Lytechinus pictus: one gene and its partners. The protein of the gene in region 1 purifies or fractionates together with the protein of each later gene. This does not show direct contact. Links are inferred from orthologs where the notes say so. Each region holds a gene or a part of one and is shown in the gene's direction. Other genes may lie near its edges.

Region 1 (7,602 bases):
ATGATTACAAAAATTTACTTATAATGTCCTTTTTTGGTCTGCATATCAAAAATTTTCAGCTCGCGCTTCGCATTATTTGAGCAGTGACATACATATCCGTTTAATGGCACTGTCTTTAAAATGTCCCTATTAGGTCAGTATACCTGGCAACTGAGCGCGCTTCGCGCGCTCACTAAGTGACTCAAATATTTTGCTGGTGCCCCCCCAATGCCGTGACTCACGGTACGCATTGTGTTTTCCGCATACATTCGTAATTCCGAAGCTTCGTTATTCCGAAGGTTCGGATATTCCGAAGGTTCGTTATTCCGAAGGTTCGTAATTCCGAAGGTTTGTTAGTCCGAAAACGAAATGAGGTTCGTAATTCCGAAGGTTCGTTAATCCGAAAAAGAAATGAGGTTCGTAATTCCGAAGGTTCGTTAGTCCATAAACTAAATGATTAACTAAACTTATTTCGTTTTTCGGACTAACGAACCTTCGGAACAACAAACCTTATTTCGTTTTCGGATTAACGAGCCTTCGGAACAACGAACCTTATTTCGTTTTCGGATTAACGAACCTTCGGAACATCGAACTTTATTTTGTTTTCGGATTATCGAACCTTCGGAATAACGAACCTTCGGAATAACGCCACAAATGTTCGGATTAAAGAACCCTTTTACGTTTTCGGATTAACGAACATCGAGGTATAGGCAATTTGCGTGTTTCGGAATTACGAATCTTCGGAATAAAGAACCTTCGGAATTACGAAGTGTAACCGTGTTTTCACACCCCTAACATTCATAGTAACAACTGGGGCATTAGAATTACAAATTTACATGAATCCGGCGCCCCTAGGTAAATCGGCGCCCCCCCCCCCCCCTCCTTCCAACCATGGCGAACATCAATTCGGCGCCCCCATATAGAGGCCCGTTATATAGCCCTTTGAAGAGTTACAGATTAAGCCCCGGCTGCAGAACGGGGTCTAGCAATCATTTATGAGCTGGTTCGTACACTGGCATGCTATATATATCATCCATCTTTCTTCCCGTTCTTTTTCTTCTATCTTCGGCCTTCGGCAGTCCAGTCACACTAGCGTACCTATAGTCCAGGATAGAAGGGGTCGAACCTTGTTTTTTTATATATACAATGTTTTTTTATGGTTTCTTGTCAATTCGAGGGTGCTGATTCCGAATCTGAATGATGCCACTCGTGTAACCTTGAGCATTTTCTGCAAATTGGCAAAATCCAATATGGCCGCCAAAATATTCAAATTACCCATGAAAATCATAAAATTGTCCACACATTGGCTTTAAAGTACATGCAATTGTGCTGCCGGAGTGAAATAATATCTGAAAAAATGATTTTTGTCAAAATATTTATTTTCTTGATATCAAAATGGCCGCCATCATAGACCCCTGTACAATATGAATGGGGAAAATTAATTTTTACAAAATTGAGCACTGAAATGCAAGTAATTATGATCTATGAGTGAAGCAATGTCTGTAAACATGATTGCTAACGATATATATCATTTGTTATGTCAGTTATGTGATAAATCCTGTATTTTGATATTCAAAATGGCCTTCAAAAGCCCTAACACTATTATGTACAATGTGAATGGTGACACAAAAAAATCACAAGAGTGAGCACTAACATGCATTTTGTTGAGATAAACGAGTGGAATACTGACTAAAAACATTTTTAATAACGAAATTTATTATTTAACATGCCATGTATGTGATAAACCCTGTATTTTGATATTTAATACGACCGCCAAAGGCCCTAAAATTATGATCTACGATGTGAGAGAGGACAAAAACAATCACAAGGTGAGCACTAAAACGTATTTTTTGTGGTAAATTAGTGGAATACTGTCTTCAAATATAATTTGCAACGAAATATATTATTCGGGTTTCATATTTGTGTTAAATATTGTATTTTGACTTTCAAAATGGCCGCTAAAAGACATTGACTGTATTATGTACAATCGATCTGGGAAACCTATTTTCACATGAGTCAGCACCATAACATGCATATAATTGTGATTTAAGAGTAAAATATTGTCTGAAAACATAATTCCTAACAAGATATATCATTCATTCTGCCAGGTAGGTGATAAATAATGTATTTTGAAAGTCAAAATGGCCGCTACAGGCCCTAACAGTAGGCCTATTATGTACTTTGTGAATGGGAACATATAATTTTAACAGAATTTGGCTTTGCTTGACTAAATGGTGTTGCATGTATGAGTGAAATATCGTCTGAAAATATGATTTTGTTACCAAATAGATCATTTCTTATGTTATTTAGGTGATAAATGCTATATTTAAATTTCAAAATGGCTGCATTATGTTTCTTTGTGGAAATTATCTTTCCCCATTCAAATTTTACATATTAAGATAAGGGACTATGGCGGCCATTTTTCATTTTTAAAAGGCTGCATTCATCACCTTTATGACACAAGCTATGATATATTTCGTTAGAAATCATTGGGTTTAGACAATACTTAACACTTACATCAAAATTAAGCCATTTTCATAGTAAAAATTTTGTCAAAATTATCTGTCCCCAGTTACAATGTACATACTACTTTGGGCTATGGCAGCAATTTTGAATTTCAAAGTAAGGCCTTTATTACCTTCTCAACCATTATGTGATGTATTTAGTCAGAAATCATGTTCAAGACCAAATTTTACCTATACATCACGTAGTTACGTGCGTTTTTGGTTCTCATTCTGGTGATGATTAGTTTCCCTATACGCATGTTACAGAATTTGTAGGGGCTTGTGCGGCCGTTTTGAAAGTCAAAATACAGTATTTATCACCTATGGGAGAGGAAATGTTATATTTCATTAAAAAAATCACGTTTTCAAACAATATTTTCCTTATACAACAGAATTATATGGATTTCATAGTCAGGCAAATCCTAATTCTTTCAAAAGTATTTGTCCCCATTTACATTGTAGATAATACTGTAAGGGCCCATAGGTGCCATTTTGAATTTTACAATACAGCATTCATCTCATGCATGAAAAATGAAATGATATGTTTCGCCAGAAATCATGTGTTTAGACAATATTTCACTCGTGTAGATTACAATTGCATTCATTTTATTGTTTTTACTCTTGTGAAAATTAGTTTCTTCATTCGCTTTGTTCATAATACAGATAGGGCCTATGGCAGCCATTTTGAATGTCAACATGCAGCATAATTACCGAAATTGCAAGGGAAATTATATGTTTCGTTAGAAATCCTTGTTGTCAGACGGTGTTACACCAATATTTCGCAGTTATTGGCATTTTAAAGTCAAACAAATTCAAAGGTTGTGAAAATTATTTGTCCCCTTTTATATATTGTACACAGTATAAGGGGTCTATGACAGCCATTTTGAATATCATAATACAGCATTTATCACATTAGATAGTATACAAATGACATAGTTTTGTTAATAGTCATGTTTTCAGACAGTAGTCCACTCGCAGGTCACAATCACATGCAATAATAGTGCTCTTGTTTGAAAAAATATTTTCCCCATTCATATTCTACATAATAAAGTATACAGGGGTTATGGCGGCCATTTTTAATATCAATAAAATAAATATTTTGTCAAATATCGCTTTTCCAATTGGTATTTCACTTCTGCACAACAACTACATGCATTTTATAGCTAATGTGTTGGCAATTTTATGATTTTCATGGGTAATTTGCATATTTTGGCGGCCATATTGGATTTTGCCAATTTGCGGAAAATGCTCAAGGTTACAAGAGTGGCATCATTCAGATTCGGAATCAGCACCCTCGAATTGACAAGAAACCATAAAAAAACATTGTATATCTAAAAAAACAAGGTTCGACCCCTTGTCTATGGGGCCTATCCTGGACTACTACGGGCCAGAACCCATGCAAAGGACGTATCCCTAGGTCCTATAGATACGCCACTGCCTAGTGGCGTACCTAGGATTTTCAACAGGGGGGCAAAATCGGCCGCCAAAAAATCTGACAAGCAAAAAAAAAAAAAAAAAAAAAAAAGGGCTTCAATCAAGCTCTTCAGGGGGGGCAATAAATGTCTTCAAGCTCGTCAGGGGGGGCAGGGATATGTCTTTTGTATGGGTTGTGGCTCGTCAGCTAGGGGGGCAGACTACCCCCCCCCCCCCCCGTAGGTACGCTAGTGCCACTGCCCAGTCGTATTATATTTTGTCCCTTTTTTATTCTAAAATTATAGCTTTTGGATTCCATTCTACCTTCATTTCCTGCTTTCGTTCGTCTTTTTGTCATCTTTAATTTATTTCCCTTTCTTACTAATCATGCTAATGTATTTAGTTTATCGGGGAGAATTGCTTTTTCTCAAATGTTAATCTTATTTCCTTCGATCCTTTTCCTGTTTTCTTTCCTTTTTAACTTTTTTTTCCTAATTTTCACCTTTTCCATTTTCATTTTCCCCTCTTTTTCTTCCTTTTTAAACTTTCCCTTTCTCTCCCTTTTCTCTTCCCGTTTTTATTATTTTCCCGGTGAAATCCGCCAGGGGGGCAGGTGCCCCCCCCCCCCCTTATATGTCACTGCCTTGATGTATTATTTATGAAGTTATTATGTTTGTATGTTTATTTCAATGCTGTTGAATGTCATTGAAAGAATCAATAAAGAGTACTTTTAAAAACTGCGCCTTATACCGGTACCTAGCTCATTTTTTAAGGGGCATGTACGTCGGAGACAAAGTCCATGTGGGATCAAAAGTGGGATCCCTTATCCTTTGCCCTTACCCAAAGAACTCCAGCTAGCAAAGAGAGCCCCGGGCGCGCCCCGGAGCTCTCTAGTCTGGGTACGGTACCGCGGCCCGGCCGCGCCGCCCCCATAGCCAGGTACCGCTCTCGTCAGTCGATCTACGACGCCGTCTAAGATTAAGAGCTAAAAGAAATAATTTTGATCTCGACAAGCTACCCTGGCCCTGGTATCGTTGTTTCGAGAAGCAGCCAAGAAGACAGCGCTATATTCTTGTCTGGTGGGTTATTCGGTAAGGAACATCCGGATTATTCGTACTAGGCTTTTATTTCTTGTGTTAAAACTGCCCAATCAAAAATTAACCAGATTTCGAGTGAAGTGTGGCATGATTGTTTAATATACCGCTTAGTGTAGGCCTAGGATGTAGTCCCATATACTTATTTTCGTGTTTACCCGCTTCGCGTTTTTGAAATCCTTAAAAGTTTAGCCTTATCGTCAACAAAATATTAATAGACCAGGGGCGGTAACCTGAACATTGCCTTTTCTCTATATTTCATCTTTTCACAGAGATATAACAGAAGCAATATTTTGGGAAATTATTGAAGAGACTATAGCCTATACTATACTCTATAGTAGGCCTATGACTTGGTCTTGAGTTGAATTGTGATTTTGAATTTTTATTTTATAGTAGACGGTCTAATCCCCATTAGCACTTCCATATGACATACTGGGCCTTATCGTGAAATTTGTCACCTCTCTTGTCGTGCGTTGAAAATGGAGGACGTATTTTTCTAACTCTCTCAAAAATTGTTTTTGAAATTCAAATTTCGAAGAGTAGAATATCGTTTGGGGCTTAGTTTTTCCGTATATATCGGATTAGGATCGTACTTATTCCACGGATGTCATTTATATGCCATTTTTTATGCGGATCGATAGGATTTAGTTGGATTTAAATTGTCGCGGTGAACATCTTTCGCGAGGTGCAACGAGCGCAGTGGACCACCGAACGCAACGTAGAGTTTCAGCGGGGAGCTAGCCCGATACCTACTCGACGTTCGCGATGGCGTCTGTCGTCAATCCAGCCGCCCGCAACGGGGAATTGACACTACAGGAGGCCATGAAGCGGCTTTCGCCGAACGCACTCGCAGATGAAGTTTCACCGACGATCGATTCCACATTAGTTCAAGGAGCGAAAAGGAAAATTCTTCCGAAACGCAAGTCATCGGAATCTGAAATCAGCGGTTCGCAGAGATCAAACAAGGGAAACACCAGTAAATCATCATCCAATAAAAACAAACAAGGGAAAGCATCAAGAGATAGGAAATCATCGACTCAAGCAGAAGAGAAAGAATTCCAATGTGAGTACTGTGATAAAACTGGCATTGAAATTATGATTGAATGTGAATGCTGCAAGCGGTGGTCATGTTTGTTGTGTCAAGGCATGTCCATGGAAGTGTATGCTGTACTGAGTGACGAAAATAATCATGCTCATTGGTACTGTTTTTACTGTGAAGAGAAGGCTATACAAGCTATCAAATCAGTTGAATTGAATGAGCAGAAAACAGCAAACACTCATATCAATTCTGGCTTTACTGCCAACGGAGAACAAGGCAATAGCCGAAGTGCAGATATTCCCTTCAATCAGTTGGATCAATTTACTCATCAAATATGTGAAATTATGCAAGAAATGAAAGGAATTAAGTCGATGCTAGAGTCTTCAGAGATAAATGACAATAGAAATAAATCATACGCACATGTAACTAAACAACAAGAAAGAGTGGAGAGTAGGCCTAGAAGTAAAAGCAGTAGGGGCATTGAATCTGACATTAGCCAAAGCCCGAACTACAATTCAGATTCACAGGCTAGTCATGTGCAACTGCAGCAACAATCTGCACTCATTAACATAGCAACTGTTGATGAAATAGTTGATAGAGAAAGAAGAAAGCTAAACTTAGTTTTATTCAATGTACCAGAGTCGACAGGTGATAGTTTTCAAGAGCGACAGTGTGAGGATGCAAAAGAGGCTGAAACTATCTTCTCAACAGGATGTCACGTGGAGGGAGTTAGGATTATGAAAGTCATACGACTGGGAGGGAGGATCCAAAATCAGAACGCCAAGCCCAGGGTTCTGTTGGTACAACTTGAAGATGCTACACACAAAAGTGAAATCTTGAAGTCAGCAAAAAACTTGAGAAAAATAGAGAAATGGATGAATGTATTCATTGCTCCAGACATGACTAAACAACAGCGATTAGAGCGTAAAGCTCTGAGGGAAGAGCTCAAGAGGAGACGCGAGGAGGGTGAAGAAAACTTGACGATTCGCAGAGGAAGATTAGTCACCTACAATATTGATGTGAAACTCAAGCAGAAGCGTACAGAGAATGTGGCACATTCCTTCTCCCGGCAGACGAAGGACAAGCAGGTGAAAGAGAATGTTCAATCCAGCTTCCAACAGTCAGAAGACATACAAGAAGTGCGACCCAGCACTAAACCTAAAGATGGACAAGTTTTAACAGATGAGACAAGGTTAGAAGGAGCAATAGGAGGAGTTGACCTCGGTGAGTGTTGACTACAGGAGAGTAAATGTTCAGTTGATGACAATTCAGTGGCATTTGAAACTGGAAATGATTTGAAAGTTCTATATACAAATGCAGACTCTTTATCAAAATGATTGAGTTGGAAATCATTGTGCATAACTTGAATATTGATATTATTTTGGTGACTGAAGCAAAACCTAAATCTTCTGTAACAGAATCAACTCTGACTTCATTTAATATACAAGGATTTAATATATTTGGAAACCTTGAAAAGGGCAAGTGCAATTCTCGTGGAGTTTTGATATACACAAGGACTACACTCAAGGTGATTGAAGTGGAAATGTTTAATGACTTTATTGAATCATCATGG
Region 2 (7,523 bases), on another chromosome or scaffold:
CTTACTCGCTTTATTATGATATTTTGTAGATTACTCGTTTAAGCCCGTCTTCCGTGTCCGTCTCCATTTTTGTATATATATAGTTTTGTATATAGTTTGTTAATTAGTATTGAACCTAAGTTTAGGGACTTGCCTTCTTTACAAGCTTCGCTTTTCTTGGCAAGTCCCTCCGTTCATTTCCACATTCTTCATATAGATAAAATAATTGCATCTCACCTTAGTTTTGTTTAATTTATCTTCAATATTTGTTATAAAATGTCATCAACTGTCTGTATTGTATTGAATATGTATACTTTGATTATATTTTGAAAATTTTGTTGAACGGAAATGAATAAATCATAAATCTAAATCTTTAGAAAATGTCTCTGCAGCTATACTCCCTGATAGAAGCTAAACTTATTAAAAACATATAGTTTAGAGTCAGTAGTGCTGATCCATGTTTTGGAAGGCGAGAGGGGGTAAAGACATTCAAGTTGTCCAGAATCAGAATTTTGCACGTGAAGCTCACCGAAAAGTTCACAGTTTTATATGTTTAATAGTATTTTTATGTCAAATCTATAAAATGGTTTTAAAGCGGTTTCAGATGTTTTTGCAATGGATTCTTAAACATGTTAAAGGACAAGTCCACTTCAACAAAAAGTTGACTTGAATAAAAGGAGAAAAATCCAACAAGCAAAACACTGAAAATTTCATCAAAATCGGATGTAAAATAATAAGAAAGTTATGACATTTTAAAGTTTCGCTAAATTTCATTAAACAGTTATATGCACATCCTAGTCGGTATGCAAATTGGCACACTGATGACGTCACCCACTCACTACTTCTTTTGTATTTTATTATAATTATGAAATATGAAAAATTCAAATTTTCTCCTCATTGCCATGTGAAACAAAATTATATTCCTCACTGAACATGTGGAATTACCATTATTGTAAAAGCGTATGGTTAAGTCAAGTTGGTCTTTATTGTCAAATCTGTAAAAATTGAAATATTGTATAATTCAAACAATAAAAGACAAAAGAAATAATTAGTGAAGGACATTATCGACTCTCTCATTTGCATATCGCTGAGTTGGGCATTTAACTGTTTTGTGAAAAATAAGCAAAATTCTAAAATGTCATAACTTTCTTATTTTACATCCGATTTCGATGAAATTTGCAGCGTCATGTTTGTTTGATTTGTCTCTATCGATATGATTTTGTACTCCTTGTACAGGCTTGTATACTGGAATAACCAAAATGGTTCTATATAAACGACTGTTTAGAACCCTTTCTGCTTCTTCGAAGAAAGCTTTAAAGGTCAAGTCCATCCCAGAAAATGTTAACTTGAATCAATAAAGACAAATTAAAAAAGCATGACGCTGCCAAAATTGGATGTTACTAAAAAGGTTGACATTTTAAAATTTCGCCTATCTTTCACAATATGCACAACTCAGTGTTTTTATGGAAATAAGAGAGTCGATGATGTCCCTCACTCACAATTTCTTTTTTTTTATTGTTTGAATTATACAATAAGTGTTTACAGATTTGACAATAGTGACCAACTTGACTGAACCACAAAGTGTTAAAACAATCATGGAAATTCCACGTGTTCAGGGAGGAATAAAGCTTTCTCATGACAGTTAAAGGAATATTAAATTATTCAATATTGCATAATAATGAAATTAAAAAAATAAAGAATAGTGACTAGGTATGGGATGTCATCAGTCCCCTATCCCGACCAGGATGTGCATATAATTGTTTTGAAATTAAGTGTCATAACTCTTTTATTGTACATACGATTTTGATGAAATTTTCAGTGTTATGCTTAAGTTTGATTTTGTTTCCTTTTATTCATATCAACTTTTTGTTGGGGTGGACTATACATATATTAGCAAATCAATGCAATAAATTCAAATTATAAACTAAACCAAATTTATCCAATGCAGCCGATGTTTAAAGGAAAATTAAATCTTTGAAACAAGATAGCTTGTGCGAATACAGAAGAATAAAAGAAAAGGTCAATAAAAATTTGAGAAAATTGAATAATTAATGCGAAAGTTATGATCATTTGAATATTTAGATCATTATTGTAATGTAGATCCTCCCATTAATAATGCGACAAAGATGTGTAATGTCACATGTGAACATTATCACATCTATCAGTAGATAATTTATTCTTTCAATAGAAGATTTTGAAAGGAATACATTGTAGATAAAGAGTTTGTATCACCATATGAAAGAGCAAAAAAGATAATTTGGGGGCATTTCATAGTCCATCAAAGGGAAAGTTGTTCACATGTGACATCATACATCTTTGTCGCATTGCCAATAAGAGGATCTCTATAGCATTAGTGATCGCAATATTCAAATTCTCATAAATTTCTCATTATTTTTCAGATATTTCTCAAAACTGAACAAAAAAATGAAATTACCACTGACAGACAGTATTATTAAAAATAGTGACGAAGTTATTATTCATTAAAAAGTACTATTCATTACTAAAAACTTCTGGGGCTAATGTTCCAGGCAGAGAATCTTTGGTAAAATGAAAAAAAAAGCAAAGATGGACACATTTCACGCCCCTCAAACAATTTCATTTTTTATGATCTTCCATTAGTAATAATAGATATACATTACATTGGTATCTCTATTTATGGCGACTAGCACTCAAAATACTTTCTAGGTCGGCATGGTTGGTGACAATGTATGCATTCATTGTAACCAACCATGCCGACCTAGAAAGCATACTGCTTGGAACGTTGGCCTTAATGGATATAGTGAAGGGAATAATATTTTTGGAATAAAGGAGAGACGAGGAGGAAAAGGGAAAGAGTTGAAGAGACAGAAAGGGGGAGGGGGTGGGGAGATAAAGGGGTGAAAATTAGAGAAAAGCGCGCAGATGGAAATACAGTGTAGATAAAGAGACAATGTGGGTGGGGGGGGGGGTGCGAGATTATGAGGAGAAGAGGGGGGAAAGAGACAGAAAGGGAGAGAGAGAGTCACATAATGAAATATGAGTACGATACAGGTTGTCTTTGACTAACAAAAATCTTAGTCTTTTTAACAAAAAATAAAATGAATAAAAGAATCCTTTGTTGCAAGGGCGTATAGGCTGGGGGTGCACACGCACCCTCTCGCTGAGGAGTTCAAACCGAAATTTGTACCCCTTCTGCTTTCAACAGCTGATTTTTTCAAACTTTAGTTCCACCTCTCCAAGATGTGCACCCAGCTACCACTTCAGTTCCACCTCACCGCTCACCGGGATGTGCACCCCCATGCTCAACCAGCCCTTGTGTTAGCAGAAATTATGCAATGCTATACCTACCCAAAAAAAATATCATTCAAATAAATCCACCTTAAAAATGATTTATAAAAAGAATATTCATTCCCTTTATATACTAATTAAAAAATAATCAAATAAATCATCATATCATAAAATAATCATATTGTAACTATATCCAGTCAGCAAAATCACATCACTCTTATCTGGAAAGTTCAATGGTTGCCACTCCCGGTTGCCACTAAATGAATCTTCAAAGTCCTTCTATTGGTCTCTCATTATTGTCAATATAACTTGCCCTAGTTATAATAAGTAATTGATTCATACCAACCATCAGTTTAAGAAAATGGGGGGGGGGGGCAGCTTCACTCAAGTGGGACAGAAATTGTGCGATTTACTTTCACATTATAGTTTGAAATCACAGGCACTGTCACGGGGAACCTAAAGATAATTATTTACCCATATAATCTCCCCCGAGAGGACTTATCATAAAATTAAAAAGTATTTGATCTGACCAGGGTATTTCCTTATTCGACCAAAGAAATCTCCATGATCTAACCAGGCTCATCAAAAAAATATTTTTTTTTACGTTTCTTACCCTTTTAAACATGCCCAAGTTAATGGTTTGATGAGCCTTGGAATTAATTCAGCCCTATGTCAGAGGGAAATTGTTGGGGGCACATTACATTACTAATCTTTCTGAATTAGATATTGAATCGAAACCGGCCCCGGCTAAAAAAATGAAAATAGCCCTAATTCACAATTTTATCGTTACCAGATTCAGTTATAATTCAATTCATAACATTAAAACACTGATTTATCCTGAATACAATACAATTAATAATCTGTCCTTTTCCATAAACAAATGAAAAGATAACTTAAAAAAAAACTTATATTAAATGTAAACAATTGACACAAATTTATGTAGATCTGCATGAGGAGGACCATCCGACCTTTCTGAATAAAAGAGATGGATTTGTCTACAAAATATATGGGAACTTGAGACACTGCACTTCAGGGCGAGGAACCATAGGCCTTTTGGGGCTATGCCCCCTAAAAAACGGTAAAGATAAAAAAACAACGAAAACTTGAAATAGGAAGGAGCGAGTAATTACGTTATATCTTTTAATTGTTTTAATGTCAAAATCTACCCCAAAATTAGATTTTTGTAGTTAAAAATATGACAATTTTTGTTCACTCGCTTCGCTCATATAATTTGAAACCTTTTAGGCCTAAAATTGACAACACTCGCCAAACCAAATCGAATCACAATCAGCAACCGGCCGAAAGTTTTCCGAAAGAGCGCCAGCTAGAGTCTAGTCTATAACGCTCGCTGAAAATATACGATTGGAAAACGCATTTCATTTTGCGAATAAATTCTCATCAACGTTTATATATCTAATTTCTTTGGATTTTCTGGTGTACTTTATCGATTTCATTCAACATGGGGTCGTCTAAAAAACACAAGGAAAAGGACAAGGATCGGGAAAGGAAACACAAGCATAAAGACCGTGATAAGGACCGAGATAGAGAGCGGAAACACCGGAGCAAACACAGCCACAAACACAGGGATAAGGACAGGGATCGTCGTGTCGTTGAGAAAGACGTCGAAGCCGGGGAAATTTCTTCACCAGAACAGAAAAATGACCGAAAACGCGGGAGGAGTCTTAGCCCATCCCACATAAAACTTGAGAAAGATGTTGAATTACAAGGTATCTTGACAATAATAGGCCTATTTTAGGTCAATCTTTCAAAATTGTGACAAACTTTTACATCACAAAAATGCACATATGGGACTGAACTTTAGCATATGATTTGCACCATCACCATGCACCAGCGAATATAATAGTAATAGTAATACCGGTATTCCTGAACAATTGCCATGACCATGCATGCCCATGTCATGATGAGACCTCTAAATTAAGGTTTTGATCATAAAGAAATACATTGTCATGACTCATGGATAAAGTAGACTTAACCAGTAGAGGCGCACGGCCAATATGGGAGACTCTCTCCAATAGCAATAGGGGAGACAATCTCCCACATTGGAGACTTGCTTTGCAAAAGGACAAAAGAAACAACACCAACAAAAGCATGATTTTTTCAACCAAAAATTTTGTCTCACTGAGGTCAGAAGCCCATTTGTTTTGTGTGTGATTGACAACAAAAATCCTTATCAAAACAAAAGTAGACGGTGAATTTTTAAAGTAGAAGGTGAAAAAGGGTAATTTTTCATGAGGAATCTCCTTATCACATTTTTATTTGCCGCCAAGGTAATCCTTTTGCAGCAAATGTAAACAAAGGAAATTGGTCGCCAAAACTGGAGACCGTCTCTGAAATTGGATACCCAAATTCTTTACAAAAGTCTCTGATATTGGAGATAATCTCCCACATTGGAGACAGTCTCCAATATTGGCCGTGCGCCTCTACTGTTAACTTCTTGACTTAAAGTACATAATGCATAACAAAGTCTCAAAAGACTCAATGCTCAAAATCAAAATTTTTTTTTTTTAATTCATCAGGTTTTTTTTGTACTAAAAATTTAAAAGTCTAACTTCTCTAACTCTAAGTAAAACAGAGACCAGAGTCAGAAATTTTTGATTGTCAGACTGAGAGGAGAAGAGAGGCCTTCCCCTTTTAAAAACGAAACCTGGAATTCCAGTGGAATTAACTCTAAAACTAAAAGTTCCTGGAATTTTACAAAATATCTCAGAATTTTACAAATGTTCTCCAGTCTTTCATAGATGTTATGTACTTCTTTTCTAAAGTATGCAAAAAAGATGAAATATAGGGCCCAGTGCTGTAATGAGTCAAAAATATTGAGGGGGCAAAATATGACCAAAGACGTATCGGGGAAAAGAATTGCTAGTGAAGCGAGTGAGCGAAAATTTTGACATTTTCATTACAAAGATCTAACTTTGAGATAGATTTTGACATAATGTTCAGAAAATAATATAATTCCTGGAAATGATAACTTCCCGAAATGATCTTGGAAAAGGGCAAAACTTCCCGGAATTTCCTGGATTACGGGAAGAGTGGAAGCCTTGAGGAAGGCTGACGTTAGAGCCTAAGTTAGGCTCAGCTCAGTCAGACTCAGTAAGATCCCTTAGAGCTTCGCAGAGGCTCATGGCATGGCCAATATTGGAATCAATTGGAAGATTTACTTCCATAATGGTGTACTAGTATTGATTCTTATTATATTGATTTTATTTGACCTTTATATTGGCTTAATTTGACAAATTGACCTTATTATATTGACTTTATTTGACTTTTATATTGACCAACGAACGTAGAGGGCAGCGACACAGCAGTGTTGCTTTTAGGAAGGTCCACTCGATACGCGCATACAATTGAAGTTTGCGAACAAGGCATGCCAACAAAACCATGCATCAACACAATACAATCTCGGATAAATAGCGAAATATAGACAAAAATGACAGATTATCACAAAAATACATTTAACTAATAGAAAAACAAAAGTATGGCAAGTTCCCTCAAGTCTGTGCACATGCGTACATGTATCTGCGCGATTCTAGTAAAAGAAGATATGCAAGGAACACAGACTTTACACATGCAATACATAGACAGATATTCATTGAAAAATCTGACTCAAATGGTGGGAAAATAATGAATTTAGGGCGTTTCATGTGACGACCTCAAAATGCAGCCTTTCTCATCAAAATCCCTGAATCGTGTGCAAAGTGAATGGGTGCGCAGACATGGGGTACCATTTTTTTTTTCAATCTGAAAATAACTGCCCGAGGTTTTTATATAAGAAATTCCTATATTTCTTTCAAATTTTTATGAGATATTTGTTACACTTACTCATAATAATATAAGGAACATTATTAAATGAAAGATTTTGTGAAATAAGAAGTTCATGTTAAATCTTAACTCAAATTGTTAGGTGCGCAGACTTTGGGACCACCATCGTATTAATCAAATTCGTTCAATCAATCTTGCCTTGGCGTTGCTAGTGTATTGGCCAGATTCGATCACTGCCTGATGGATTGCCAAGAGCTAGCCCGGATTTGTGGATACATGTACAGCATACTTATTTTTCATATTTTCAGACTCTTGATGGATTGCAAAGAGCTAGCCTGGATTTGTGGATATAACATACTTATTTCATATTTTCAGACTCCAATCTGCATTGAAAGTGAAAATTAAGATTCTAACCTTGAACATTCATCGTTGCTCAACTGCTTTAGTGCCACAACAATGACAGACCAAGTCCATGTCATTCAAGTCCATATGTAGCT
Region 3 (6,895 bases), on another chromosome or scaffold:
CTGGAGATATTCGAAATGCAGGACCTAAAATAGATTATGACATGGATAAGAAAGTGGTTTTTCAAACAAATTGAGTACATATTGAGTGAGGAAAAACTTACTGAATGAAGGCTTAGATATAGATCATTACAGTCCATCGAATCGATATTACATTTGATGTGGATTATTGGTGGATCACTGGCAATTGATTTCATGGGTCAGATCAACCTCTCCAGCCGAAAATTCCGCGCGCGTTGATATGCGCACAGCATATGCAATACGTTTGAACTCGTTTCTTTTGTTTCTTTGTTTCTTTTGTTTCTTTTGTTTACTCCTTCTACACAAACGATATGCCTCTCGCACACGATGTAATGGGCATTATGTTTTTCTTTCCCCAGAAATGGGGGATTAGATTCAAATTCCGGGGGGACCACTTCCATTGATGAGTGGATACCAGGCACGACCATGAGGTTTCGAAAAGTACCCTAAACAAGGGAAGCAATTCTTTTCCAGATTATGAAAATGCATCTCTTAACAAGTATTTGGCTTGTGAAACCCTACAAGTATATATATATCCCTTTTTTTCAGCATTTTAAACATCGTTTTGACACCCTTATTACGTTACATAGGCCTATAAGTAACGTACCTGCCCACTCTGTCCCCTTTAACGCGTGTTCGCTCCTGGTATCCACTAATCAATGGAAGTGGGCCCCCCGGGCGGCCTCTCGAGCTCTAGGAGGAGTCAAATGTTGCTTTGGAAAGTCGTCCTCAATCGGATATATCGCTGTTACCATAGTAGCAACCAGAATTTTGCACACGAAACGCATATTGAATGTTTCCGTCGCAGATGCGAAACGAAAAAAATAATCTCATGTCACACAATTTGCATTGCAGGACAGAGTTTTACGACCATGATGACGGGCCCAAAAAGTCTCTTCCAAAATCAACTACCGTCGTAAATAAGCGTGCGCGTCCTCAAACGAAAGGTCGGGAATATCAACAGAGTAGAGGTCTACGCATACATGTATGCTACGTTAGGCCTTTAAATTCTAAAAGTTTCTTTGAAAACTACAAAAAATTGATTTTAATTTCAAACCATTTCAAATGACTAGACCTAGTGGAAGAAATCGTCGGTCCATAAAACCCAACCCGTCCGGACATGCAACAACCAGTGGTAGGATGGGGGCACTTATCCAATAATACAAGGCCATGATATGTAACCTTGTCCTCAATTAGTAACCCCTGCGTGGTGAAATTAAAAGAAAAAGATTTTAAACGTTTGGGTTATTTTCTCTTGATCTAGACTGGATAAATACTTGATATTTTGGCAGTCAGTTTTTACTACAGTAAATTCATCATAAAAAAATATGCCTTGGCCCAAAACTAAATGATATTTTTTTTTCTAATTAAAAAGCGAGTCTGTGAAGATGAAGATCTGCATCAATCTCTAATACCACCAATAGAGGGTCTCACAAAAATATGCTCAAATGAAAGGTTTTGAGCGCTCTGGTGAAAAAAATTATTTCTAAGTCTAGAATGAAAACAAATCATAACTGAATGGATCTGAGATTTTTTTATAATCACAAAAGTTTTTGAATGTGCATTGTATGTTGCATAGGCTCACCACAGACAGGGTGGTTGAAGAGTGCAAGTGGATGGGGTGTTTCCACTCTTCCCGAAATTAAGGAAATTTCGACTTTCCAGGAAAGGTTTTGGAAATGAAAATATTCCAGGAACTTCAGGGAAATCCAAAAATTACAATCACTGGCAGATCCCCCCCCCCCTTTTTGAGAAGCAAAATTGAAATTTGTCATGTAAAAATACTGTTAAAACAGAAGTGTGCCCCCCCCCCCTTTGAAAAAGAAGACATTTTTTTTTTGCTGGTCCAATTTTTCCTTGGATAAATCATAATGTGCATGCCTCCCCTTTTGGAAAATCCTGGATCCGCCCCTGATTACAATTAAACGACAATTAACCGTAACAACTTTTAAATATTCATTGTAGTATTTAAAGATGATCCGGCCATCCTAAAGAGGAGAAAGAATTTGGAACTGAATACAGAGTCATAATGACTTCGTTCAGTATGGTTGGAACTACCCCTTATCGACCACCTAATTTTCTAAGAATCGTATCTGCGAAAATACTTATCAGTTTTAACCTAGTTTTCGTCTCATTTGTGCAGAAAATTGAGCAGATCAGATTCCCACATTTCAGCCGATTCTTGTTGTGGTGGCGAAATATTTTGACTCTTCCAAATCAGTTCTATGATGACAACATGCTAAATGATCATCTCACTACTTCCACTGCGAGCTCCGGCACATGATTCGACAATTGGAGACAGATATTTCTTCTAAAGCCGTTTCCTATCGGATTTCTTGGTATGAACAACTGTTTTTTTGGCAGGGTTCGGGTCTAGTAAAAACAATTTTTATAAATTCTACTAAATTTTTACCTTTTACCCCTTCTTTTTCTCTCGTAAAATTGATTCTTACCGTTCCAATGGGCACTGCGCCTATCTCCCGCGCGTATCGTTTGTAATATATGCAATAATTTTAATGCGTGCAAGGTGGTCGATATGTGGTGGTCCCACTATATATTCCCTAAGTATCCTAAGAACAGTGACAGTCAGTGAAGTAGTAAGATTTAGATCCAACATAAGATCTACCTCCGGCTCCAGACGTAGGCTCCGTCGTCGTAGCTCAAAATTTTCTGCTCGCGCTCTGCGCTCCCATTTCATAATTTTGTTCCTATTTTTAAAGATGGCATGAACAAAAAAATGTTAAATTTCTTGATTATGGTCACTTCTTCTTGGACCAAATTTAGGCTCATTGTATGGCAGTGTGTCCAAACTTCGCGCGTGTCCATACTTCGCGGACGGTCATTATCTAAAAAACTAGCCAATATCCTTTAAATCTGACGTAATCAACGTGAAAAGCGACCTAAAATTACCCTTTGGTGTAAGTTTCTTTAGGATGAGTTCAGTATTCATGAAAATATTGGCAAAAGATCGGCAAATTTGTCACCGTTAGCACTTGTTTTGAAGAAATCTGATATTTTCAACAAGCATCACGATATCACCATTTTGCAAGCAGAAATCATCAAAAATGTGAGTTAAATGTGGTACTAACCGATTCTATAGCATTTTGCCATCGATCTGATATAAATATTTCACTTTTTGAGCTTGAGTTTTTGTTTAAATGTCCACAAAAACTTTGGTCCGCGAAGTTAGGTCACACTTTTTCTGAACGGTTTTCCAGCACAGCGCGCATTCGCCGATCGGAATAGAATTTTGAGATCGCGATACCGGCAAATCCCCTTGACCTACTTTACATTTTCGTCCATGATTTTATAGTTTACGATCTTGCCGTCAATGTGGTTACTATTTCTTGAATTGGTTTTGTATAAATTAGGAATATTTTGTGAAAATATTTAAGCCTGATGAATATTTTTGAAAAGTGCCCGAAGTTTGGACACCCCATCATATTCCCTGATTTTCGTTAAAAATCAAAATTGAAAATTCCAGGAAATGTCTATTAATTTCGGGAAATTAAGGATTCATTTTCAGGAAATTTGTTTTGGATCTGTGGAAACACCCATTGGGGGTTGGTGTCCGAACACAGAAGAATTGCTTGAGGCTTGAGACTTTGACTTGAGACAGTCCTGGGCCTGGCTCACTCACACTAATTATGTTTATCTCACTTCTCAATATGACTCTTATTTATGAGACAATAAGTCTAAGTTTCACTCTAATCTAAGCCAAAAATATAGGTTGAATAGTGCTTATCACCATGATCACCATCATTATTTGTTCTTTATTAACATTTTCTTACATTCTGTGCTAATAAAATCAAATAAATTGCTTGTAAACTTTTCATAACTAAAAGTAAAAGTCATGTGTCCTAAGACTGAGTCCTGACACACAACCACCGGGGTATATCAACCACCGGACCGGGGTATATCGGGCTACTGAGCCAGCGCGCGCCGCAATGCCGGCTACGGTTGCCAGTCCCATACTGTATTTTCACTGTCATGTTTACGGATCGAAATTCATTTTGGAACTATAATTAAGAATTAGTAAAAAAGCATGTTGAAATTAAAAATTATTGCAAATCAATCATACCGAAATGAACCACATAAAATTGTCTTTAGAAACAATCAGTTTTTTTAATAATAACAATTGTAATTACCTGAAATTTGCTGTCGAAAAATTTCCCCACAAACTTCGGCCTTCGGAGCCGGAGGTAAGGCAAATGACGGAGACTTCCGGTGTCGCATCCACCGCACCGTCGAACAAGATAGAAGGCTTCAGTCCCATATATTGCCGAAAAAGAGTGAGATTTTTATCACAAGAACTTCCAGATTAGTTTAGCTTGACCATGGATGAAGATCACGATCAGAGAGTGTGCAATGTTCCCTTCAATATTTTTGGAAGGGGTGGAACTGGGAGTGGAAATCGTAGCGTCAACGATGTCGATGAGGAAAATGAAAGGTAATCTGGCCGGGCTGGGTGGCGGATCCTGTGCAACCTCCTCTCGGCTCGAGCGCCGTTGTCTGTCGCGATCGCCCGGCGGCCCGGCTGCATCAGTGCGCGGTCGCGGCCGCTAACTAGCCAGGATCGAGGCTCCTAGTCCTAGAGAGTAAAAATCATTTACTAACGTGGTAGGATGGGGGGTCGGGTGTCCGGACACTTTATATTTTTGAAGCCTTCTTTTTTGTATTTGGATTACACTAAAAATATAAATTCAATACTTGTAATCATCTTCTATTTTGTTCTTTATAATATTTCCTAACATATAATTTATGAAACTTCGCTTGTAAATTTTTCCAATTCCAAATGACTTTCTAAAATTGATCGTCCGGACACACAACCTGTCCGGACACACAACAACTGGGTATATGCTTTACTCTCCACGGAGCCAGGGATTTGATTGCGTCCCCATTCATGCGCGTGTACCGCGAAAAAAAACTGAAACTTTCATCCCCGAGATTTCTACTTTCCTTCTAAAAAAGCTCTAGCCCAGCTAAATCATGTATGGGATACAACTTAATTTCCGACATTTCTACGATATTGATTTCATTTTTAAACAAGAATTCATTAAAAAAACAAGAAAAAATATTGTGAAAAGATGGGGAAAACTTGCCAGTTGCCACCATGTTTACGTTGCCATCTTGATTTCTTTGTCTTTCGCCATGCAAGGCCAAGGCTACATGCCTACAGCACGCATATGGCGAAAGACAAAGAAATCAAGATGGCGACGTAAACATGGTGGCAAGTTTTCCCTGTCTTTTCATATTTTTTAATGAATTCTTGTATGAGAATGAAATCAATAGCGTAGAAATGTCGGAAATGAAGTTGTATCCCATTTGATTTAGGGCTAGATCTTTTGGAAGGAAAGTAGAATCTCGGGGGCGAAAGTTTCATTTTTTTTGCGGTACATGCACATGAATGGGACGCAATTCCTGGCTCCGTGGAGAGTAAGCATAGGTTGGTAAAGGATTTTTACTCTCTAGGAGCCTCCTGGCTACGCGTAACCAACGAAGAATAGCGGGGGTGAACTTTGAATTGAAGGGGAAGTTCACCAACACAAAAAGTTAATTGTATAAATAACAGAATTTTTTTAATCGGACATTTTCTCCACTAAAACTAAGGTTTGAGGATAATCCATCGGTTATGATCAGTCTCAATTTCTCACAAAGTCAAACTCAAAGCAAAAACTAAAACATTGTCAGTGACACTGACAGTGTGGCCTGTGGTTGAACTTGAACTTCACCTCGTCTATGATAACTGTCGGTTGTAGTACTGATTTTTCACTTCATTATTTTGAATAAAAGTTTGCACTTACACCCTGTACATTGATTCCTTACCCCATCATCTTGAATAGGTAACCTGTCAATTTGTGATTCCAATTTTAAATTTATTAAGTTAGATCTACATAATATGAAAGAAGTCGGAATCCAGCCTGCGCAACACTTGTGAGAACATAAATTTGATGTTCAAACTCTAAAATTATGAAAAGTTAGGTTACATTTCCATGTTATATAAGACTGGGACTAGATCCTCATAAAAAGAAAAGGAAAGCAATATTGATTTACATAATTAATAATCTGATGATTAAGATGAAAATTGTCATGCATGTTTGAAATTAATTCTTGTCTACTAATTTTTATTGCTTTTAAGACTAAGCTATTTATTTCTTCTTTCACTGTTTTTTTTTCTTTCTGAATGTAGCTCTGAAGATGAGTTAGATATCATCCTGAATGGGACTCCAGAACAGAAACGTCGTTTGACGAGGAGCTTGAGCCGAGGCAGCCTTCAGATGTCCTCCAGTGAAGATGATTTTGAGAAAGAGATGGAGATGGAGCTGGATGCAACCATGAAAAACCATGAGAATCAATTCAGGGTTAATGGTGAGTTAATGTATAAGGGAAAGAGAAAATCCCGGTGGTGGCACTACCTATTGGAAGGTGTAAAGCATGATCATTCCCCAAGTCGAAAAATTCTCCCTTTTCGCATGGTTTCAAGTACATTTGGAGCAATTTTTATTTTATTTTTATTTTTGGGTGAATATGTACCTCAAAAGAAACAGGGGATGAAGAACTAAAATTTTCTACCAGCAGACAATCTGTGTCCAAATTACCACCATTCTGCTTAGCTCCAATGCTAAGGAAACTAAGAAGTAAAAACTTGGATTGAATATGGTTATTAATATTTTGAGATGGGCCCTGTCAGGCTGATAATTGATCAGTGTGACTTGCAACTTTGTGACCTTAAGGAGTTTGATTTAAGTTCTAAAAAATGGCTCATTAATTATTCATAATGCGAAAGACACTTATGAATAATCACAATAGTAGAAGACAGGGCTTGAATGAATAGCAGTAAGTTGGTGTCTAATTATGAAATATTTAGTTTGAAACT
Region 4 (7,900 bases), about 34 Mb from region 1:
AACAAGCTCCTCAAATTGTCAATAAAATAATAACTTCAGTGACGGTGCTGGTAGCACTTTTGAGGCTAATGTATGTTGAGGCACTATCGCTAATTCACTTGGGAGGCTAATGCATATTGAGGCGGTATTTGCCGAACTGTCTCAGACTCGGAGCCCCACACAACGTTCACAAACACAAAAATATGCCTGCAAATTTTTAAGAAAATAGCATCTCTAAAAGAAACTGCCATGTAATAATAATAATAGGCATTTATATAGCGCCATCTATCTAGAAATATTCTATTCCGAGGCGCGTTGTTATTATTATTATTACCCCGGCTTTAGCTCGAGCTGCCTTTCAGCGCTCGTGCATTCAAGGAATTAATCCTGCCGGGTACCCATTCACCTCACCTGGGTTGAGTGCAGCACAATGTGGATAAATTTCTTGCTGAAGGAAATTACGCCATGGCTGGGAATCGAACCCACGACCCTTTGTCAGAAGACTAATCCACTGGGCCACAACGCTCCACGTGACCCTGAGTAATCCAAACTCACTTTATTTTACCTTCTTTCGTCTGTGTGTTTTAAATGTTTTTCTTTGTCTGTGTCATAACTTCTCCCTTACGCCGTACGGTCTGCGGGTTGGAGAATGAATTTGGCCCAGCTCGCAACCCGCGTTTGGGGGCATACTGGCAGGTTAACCTGTACCACAAAAGTTTGGGTTACAGCACTACATCTCATGGCATGTAGTAGTTACAAACTGGCACATCTTGGTTTTCAGAGAGCAAATGGGGGCAAAGCACCCTTGGATAGATTGTTGGAGTAACATTTAGAGAGCATGGGAGTGCCTTCTTGACAAATTTGGCAACACCTCTTCTGCCTCTTCCAATTCTCGCTACCCCAAATAGGAACAAAAATCTCATAATGGGCGAGACGAGATAATTTTCACTCTGTCGGGTCGTCATCACCACTTCCGGTTTAGGGTCATGCTCACGCGAGGTTCGCGATACTGAGTTTTCCACCACGCTGAAATCGATGCCAATCAGCGTAATATGTACAGAGTATAATACTTTTTATTTCATTTGGTCAGTTTTTATTCCATTTGAATTATAAATAAAAATAAAAAATATATTTCACGTGAAAATAATTTTTATTCATGTTTTTATTTGGTTATAAAAAAATCAAACAAATAATGAATATCTTAAAATTTTGCATTTAGCGACCGGCCTGACATCACGATCGTATTCAACTAGACACTAAATATATACAGCATTCATTTCGTTCAATTTTTCGTCGACCACGAAATGGATAAAAATCAAATTTCGGAACTTAAAAAAATCTTAACTGACAGATGAATACCGTGCAATGGAAAGCGTCGGGCAGAATTAGTGACTTTAGCAGAAAAGGCAGTTAAACTGTATCATGAAAGAGAGGGTTGTGATCACGAACTTTCCGAGCGAAAGCGACGTTGTGTTGTTGTGCATGATGGCACTGTTGATCTGAATTGCAAAACAGTGCATTGGACTTCCGAACAGGAAGTTATAATACCGAAAAGCTATCCCATAATGCAATGCGCGTTACAGGGATTTTTCCGGATCTCGGCGAAATCGCTATTTGGGGTAGCGAGAATTGGAAGAGAGTATAGCTGATCATGAGCTTTGGAGAAGGCACGAAAATGTGACTGAAGATTCTTAAAGACACCCAATTCACCCTCATGGATCCAGTGCTCTTGAAGTAGTAGAATATCCATCTGTTTTAATAGTAGAGGAATTAATTCTTTGTTGGACTTAACCCCGCAATTTTTTAGAGAAGATATATGAAGGCTTGGTGGGTAGTTTACCTCCTCAGAGGAGGAAGCAGTTGCAGAGTGCTTTTTGTGAGATCCATGATTTTGGAGGTGCAGTTCTCGGATTAAGACCCTGCTTTGATCACAGGGTTTCTACTCAAGTGATGTTGCTTCTGAGGGATTCCCAGCTAGACTTTAGTCAGGCAGCATATTTTATTTACTTTGACAAATTGGCTAAGTCTGATTTTTCACTTTTATGTGATTGGTGACATCACAAGGAACAATTTTCAACTTAGTGACAAATTCTAATGGTCATCTTGACCATGTTAGTGGTCAAAATGGGGTCAATAGGGGTCAATTTTTTAAATTGCCCTGATTCTGTCGAGTGACACATCAAATTGTTAGTTGTACACAACCATATATACTCTTGACCTCCCGTTAAAAAGTTATGACCTGAAATGTCAAAAGGTAAACAAACTTTCGTTAAATGGCCAATTACACTGAAGGTGTGAAGAAAGCTCATTTTTCTGTGTTTTTATGCATGTGTGTACTTTTTTATTTTCGATTTTGATCAGTCCATCGTCAGAAGTCCTTATCCAGAAGATAGAAAGGGTCAAGACAAGGTCAGGGAAAGCTCCAAAGGTCAACAAACTTTCATTGGCAGCCAAAATACATGTCTAAAAGCGGTTAGAAGTTCAGAAGTCTTCTTTTTCGTGGGTTCTTTATTTTGAAAAGTCTCTATCTAAGAAGACATTTAATATAAATGGTTCAAATGTGCTTATTTAGGAAAAAATAGATAAACAGAGATAGACGTCGAATACATTCAATGCAGACACATCGATTGACCAGTGCTCCCAGCTCCTGAGAAAGATCTTATTTGGATTAACTTCCGACTAAGATAATGAGGTTAGGATTGAGGATGATATGATAAGTTGGACTCCAAATGCCCCTTAATTATGTGTGACGGTTATATTATTACTGACAAAGAGGCAACATCGTGCAAGCATGCTCATTGTAGTCAGTCATGGGTGTCCATCATGCTGATGGGATATATTCTGACCATTACTCGATCTCTGGAGCCAAGAAGGACTACACATTCCTGATTATGTGCTTACGTTAACACGGCTTGTACTATTTTATAAAATGTGTTTTTTCCAGAGCATACAATGTGAAACTAAACTTAATACCAGTTCTCACGATAGTGATGTGCATCTAGATGCAGATTTTGTTTTTGTTCTTTTGTCGTTCTTGTTTTTTTTTTCTAATTGCTGAACTACCTGGATGTTACTAGAAAGAATAATCACACATGTCATTGAAGTAAACCACGGCCATACCGCAGCGGGAAGGGGGGGGGGCAGCTGCCCCCAGAAATTGTGAAGACTTGCATTTTACTGAAAAATAAATATAATTGACCAAAAGTACAGTATGCACAAAATCCTTAAATTTCACTTTACAAAATGCAAAAGGGTCCCAATGATAAGCTCAGAACAGCACATGCACCAGAAATGTGTAGTCCTTCTTGGCTCCAGAGATCGAGTATCTTATTCGCAAGATAATCCAAATGAAATGTTAGGCAACTTTCTTAGGAGCTGGGAGCACTGATCAATCGATGTGTTTATTCTGTTAACATACATGTAGTACTATAATTATACCCCAATACATTACAATAATTTCTGTTGATTAAAATATTCTGTACAAAGCAAATGAAGGAAATACTTCTTTACATATCAAAGACTAGTAAATGGAAAATGAATTGAACTTGAATTGAATTCCTAAATAAATAAAAAAACTCCCTGGTTGCACTTATCACACCATGAAGATGATAAGATTTTAAGGGCATAATGGTTTGTCAAATCGTTTCAAGGTATTCCTGCAATACCATGATACCACACTGAATGTATTCGACGTCTATCTCTGTTTATCTATTTTGTTCCTAGATAAGCACATTTGACCCCTTTATATATAATGTCTTTTTTCAGATAAAGACCTTGTCTTGACCCTTTATATCTTCTGGATAAGGACTTCTGACGATGGACTTATCAAAATTGAAAATAAAAAAGTACACACATGCATAAAAACATCGAAAAATGAGCTTTCTTCACACCTTCAGTGTAATTGGCCATTTAACGAAAGTTTGTTGACCTTTTGACATTTCCGGTCATACCTTTTTAACGGGAGGTCAAGTGTATATGGTTGTGTACACTTTTTTGTTCAGTATAACAAGACTAACAATTTGATGTGTCACTTGACAGAATCAGGGCAATTAAAAAAATTGCCCCCTATTGACCCCATCTTGACCACTAACATGGTCAAGATGACCATTAGAAATTTGTCACCAAGTTGAAAATTGTTCCTTGTGATGTCACCAATCACCTAAAAGTGAAAAATCAGACTTAGCCAATTTGTCGAAGTAGCTGGTAAATCATGACATATGCTGCCTGACTATATACTTTGTGGACATTGAGCTGTTTGATGTTGTATTGTGGCATGACATTACATGTAATTCATTAGGTAGACAGGTGCTGCTTTCATCCCCAGGGATTCCAGGATTCACATCAATATCAACAGCTTAACTTTTTACTAGTTGGAAAGTTATACAGGTCGGTCCTACATGTACAGTATGTATGGCGTCTGCAGCTTGGAAAGGAGGCAACAGGTTTTTGCTGCTACTCCCATGATTTACCACATGAACTTTTCCAGGAGCAAGTTGCTGATTGCCTCCGATTTAACTTTAATCCAATGAACAATTTTATTGTTCAATTTTATTAGTCCCACTGTGTACTTAAACTCTCAAACTTTTCAAAGAATATATGGGTATGAAGTCTTTTAAAAAAAATTGTCAGTAATGGTGAACATTATATGCTGTAACCAACACATTATTTACTGACATTGATTGAAACTTGCACTGTATATAATTCATGGTCATATGTGAGTGATTCTGTAATTAGAGTTAGAGTAAAAAAGTTGTGTTATCTTAAGTTATTTCATTTGAAGTTGCAAAAATTACCAAAAATGTGATGTCCGTAACGCTGGAACTGCCCTTGTGTAGACATATATCTTTTCATTTTTTTAAAACTTTTTATTTCATTTTTTGAATTTCATTTATTAACTCTAGAAATATGGCTGATTCAATTCATCGTCTTGAAGGACTTTCTAATCAGGTTGGTGGGTTGGTCGTCAAGAAGAAGAAATTAAACTCTGATCCGGATTTAAAAGCCCCACCATCAAGATCTTCTGTTCTAGGCTTAGATGTCCTTGCTGCCCAGAAGCGCAAACTGAAAGATGTATCAGAAAGAGAAGTAGAGGAAGAAAAAAGTAGGAGGTCAAAGGTCATATCTTACCGAGATGAGTGGGAGAACAATTCTGATTCAGAAAGTAATGACTGTAGTGATTCAGATGAAGAGGATACGAAATCAAGGAAGAAGAGGAAACATACTGTTCTGAAAAGGTGGGTTTTATTTAACAGAAATATATAATTTGCTAGACTCTATAGACTATAGAGTGTGGACTCGCAATATGAGCTTAACGTCTGCGACTGCACGGAGCATGGTCGGCCATTGCTTAATGAGACTAAATCCAATTACCCAGATGTATGCTTCAGTCATGCAATGTTTTGCAGCAGAACGGCCTGTTGTCTCGATCCTTTATTTTGTAGAAAAGAATCCCACATCATTATAATTGATAATATGAATGACAATTTGAATCTGAATATACTATTAATGTGATTATGTGGGGATTACTGCTATTAATATGTAATTTTTTACCTGAATTCTCAGGATGAAATGCTTTAATCTATGTAACTTAGGCCCCATTGCCTGAGATAAATGGAATGATACAGCCAATCACACCAAACAGCTCCACACTATGGTGTGAAAAGTGATAAAGGAAGACTATAAAACTAGAACTCAGGAGGCATGCATAAATTAGTTCTAGTATTTATTAGTATTTGTATATATACAGTATATATTTTTTTAGTATTAGTATTCATTAGTATATATTTTCATTTTATTTATTTATTCACTTAAATTATCTAAAACAGGGTAGTCTTTTCAGTGCCAAAAGGCCTGTTTTTTTAAAAAGAAGATCCCTGTATACATACAATGATATACAAAATAAATAAATTAGAATTATAATTAAGCAAATAATTACATAAACAAAGTTACATAACATTGATGATATAACTTTAAATAATCAGAAACAAATTAAAACCTTTAAAATTGATAGTATGGCTGACAATTCAAAAGACAATGAATATTATCAGCCCCTGTAGGCCTACTATGGAATTTTTTATTATTATTTTTTTTTTTTTGGGGGGGGGGAAATACAGTTTTTGCTATCACAGAATACAATTTTTTCATTCCCAGAAGTTGGCAGGTCTGCAGCAGCCAGCTTTTACCATCAAGATACAAGAAAAGACTTTTGAAAATTCTGAGTAGCAAGAAATCCAGAATTCTCATTGGCTGGATAAGATTTCAGAACAACAGTTGCGGGTAATTTGAAGAGATTATCACATGGTCAGTATGACCTGCTTGGACAGGCCCCAGCATTGAAATATTGGAATTTGCGTGGGTGTGTTGTCTCTATGACCAATCAGAACGCAGTTTTCTTGTTTTAATGCTGCTAAATGTACTTGGCCTATGAAAAACTAGATGCTGAGCCATCTATAATACCTCTTATAAAACCTATATCATATTAACGCTTAGATCTTTAGCTTTAATAAAAAAATAAAAATTATTTGGGCTCAAAACAACAACTTTTGATGCATCAAAATAATTATTTTGTATCATGTGTAAGATCAAAAGTTTCACCTTTATTATGAAATATTTTCAAAAATCCAGACACATGACCTGAAAGAATGATTTTTTGTCTCGCCACCAGAGGTAAAGGCGAGACTTAGGGATCCAAATGTTGTCCATCGTCCGTCCATCACTAACCTTATGACACATAACTCAGCAACCGTAAGTCACTTTTCAACCATACTTGGATGGTAGATTGACTTGTGGGACCTTCATGTTATACTGCAGTCGGAGGTCACATGTTCAGGTCAAAGGTCATTTTCAGGTCAACATTAAAGTTTACATGCAAGATTCTCTTATGACATCTACATGTAACTCCGAAACTGTATGTCACTTTTCAACCAAACTTGGATGGTAGATGTACATGGGGGACCTGCATGTTGTGCTGCAGTAGGAGGTCACTTGGTAAGGTCAAAGGTCATTTTCAGGTCAACGTTAAAGTCTACATGCAAGACTCTCTTATGACACCTAACTCCGCAATCACAAGTCACTTTTCACCCATACTTGGATTGTCGATGTAGTTCGGAGACCTGTATGTCATGCTGCAGTCACACGTCACATGGTAAGGTCAAAGGTAATTTTCAGGTCAACGTTAAACGTTAAATTTTTTGTGTAAGACTTTCTTATGACACATGACTCTGCAACCGTAAATCACTTTTCAACCAAACTTGGATGGTAGATGTTACTGTATTCCCCAAACAGAGTTCGGAGGATACTATGGATTTAGCCTCGTCGCGCCGCGTCCGCCACCGCAGAGATTTCCATGTGAGCGCTTTATCAGCTGCATTTCTTCTCTGATCATCTTCAAATGTGGCATGAAGGTCCATTATGGTTAAGCAAAGCCGCCTATTGATTATAGTGTGGGCGGAGACATCGTTGCCATGGTAACAAGAGTTTTTGTGGAATAGCAGAGATGTCATTTTGAGCGCTCTACCAGCTGCATTTCTTTTCCAATCATCTTCAAATGTGGCATGAAGATCCAATATGGTAAAGCAAAGCCGCCTATTGATTTTGGTGTGGGCGAAGACGTCGTTGCCATGGTAACAAGGGTTTATGTGGACTTGCAGAGATGTCATTGTGAGCGCTCAACCAGCTGCATTTCTTCTCCGATGATCTTCAAATGTGGCATGAATGTCCATTAAATGGTAAAGCATAGCAACCTATTAATTTTGGTGTGGGCGGAGACATAGTTGCCATGGTAACAAGTTTTTGTGGAAATAGTAGAGATGTCATTGTTAGCGCTCTACCAGCTACATTTCTTTTCCGATCATCATCAAATGTGGCATGAAGGTCCATTATGGTAAAGCAAAGCCGCATATTGATTTTGGTGTGGGCGGAG

The links.
Region 2: the proteins of CD2 antigen cytoplasmic tail-binding protein 2 homolog (region 1) and U4/U6.U5 tri-snRNP-associated protein 1-like purify together in Homo sapiens (affinity purification with mass spectrometry; 4 studies listed by BioGRID and IntAct, with this or other methods). This does not show direct contact. The link is inferred for Lytechinus pictus from reciprocal best matches to the Homo sapiens genes CD2BP2 and SART1.
Region 3: the proteins of CD2 antigen cytoplasmic tail-binding protein 2 homolog (region 1) and E2F-associated phosphoprotein-like purify together in Homo sapiens (affinity purification with mass spectrometry; 3 studies listed by BioGRID and IntAct, counting the BioPlex papers as one, with this or other methods). This does not show direct contact. The link is inferred for Lytechinus pictus from reciprocal best matches to the Homo sapiens genes CD2BP2 and EAPP.
Region 4: the proteins of CD2 antigen cytoplasmic tail-binding protein 2 homolog (region 1) and pre-mRNA-splicing factor ATP-dependent RNA helicase PRP16-like purify together in Homo sapiens (affinity purification with mass spectrometry; 3 studies listed by BioGRID and IntAct, counting the BioPlex papers as one, with this or other methods). This does not show direct contact. The link is inferred for Lytechinus pictus from reciprocal best matches to the Homo sapiens genes CD2BP2 and DHX38.

What each region holds. Positions count from the first base shown.
Region 1 is NC_087246.1:5,700,370-5,707,971, forward strand, and holds the start of CD2 antigen cytoplasmic tail-binding protein 2 homolog, read left to right. Parts: upstream 1-4,597; 5' UTR 4,598-4,987; intron 4,988-7,602. UniProt on the Homo sapiens protein: Involved in pre-mRNA splicing as component of the U5 snRNP complex that is involved in spliceosome assembly.
Region 2 is NC_087251.1:43,746,957-43,754,479, forward strand, and holds the start of U4/U6.U5 tri-snRNP-associated protein 1-like, read left to right. Parts: upstream 1-4,514; 5' UTR 4,515-4,705; coding exon 4,706-4,973; intron 4,974-7,523. UniProt on the Homo sapiens protein: Plays a role in mRNA splicing as a component of the U4/U6-U5 tri-snRNP, one of the building blocks of the spliceosome. May also bind to DNA.
Region 3 is NC_087251.1:39,835,003-39,841,897, reverse strand, and holds the start of E2F-associated phosphoprotein-like, read left to right. Parts: upstream 1-3,873; 5' UTR 3,874-4,355; coding exon 4,356-4,468; exon of another isoform or gene 4,469-4,660; intron 4,661-6,208; coding exon 6,209-6,387; intron 6,388-6,895. UniProt on the Homo sapiens protein: May play an important role in the fine-tuning of both major E2F1 activities, the regulation of the cell-cycle and the induction of apoptosis. Promotes S-phase entry, and inhibits p14(ARP) expression.
Region 4 is NC_087246.1:40,090,719-40,098,618, reverse strand, and holds the start of pre-mRNA-splicing factor ATP-dependent RNA helicase PRP16-like, read left to right. Parts: upstream 1-4,883; 5' UTR 4,884-4,884; coding exon 4,885-5,213; intron 5,214-7,900. UniProt on the Homo sapiens protein: Probable ATP-binding RNA helicase. Involved in pre-mRNA splicing as component of the spliceosome.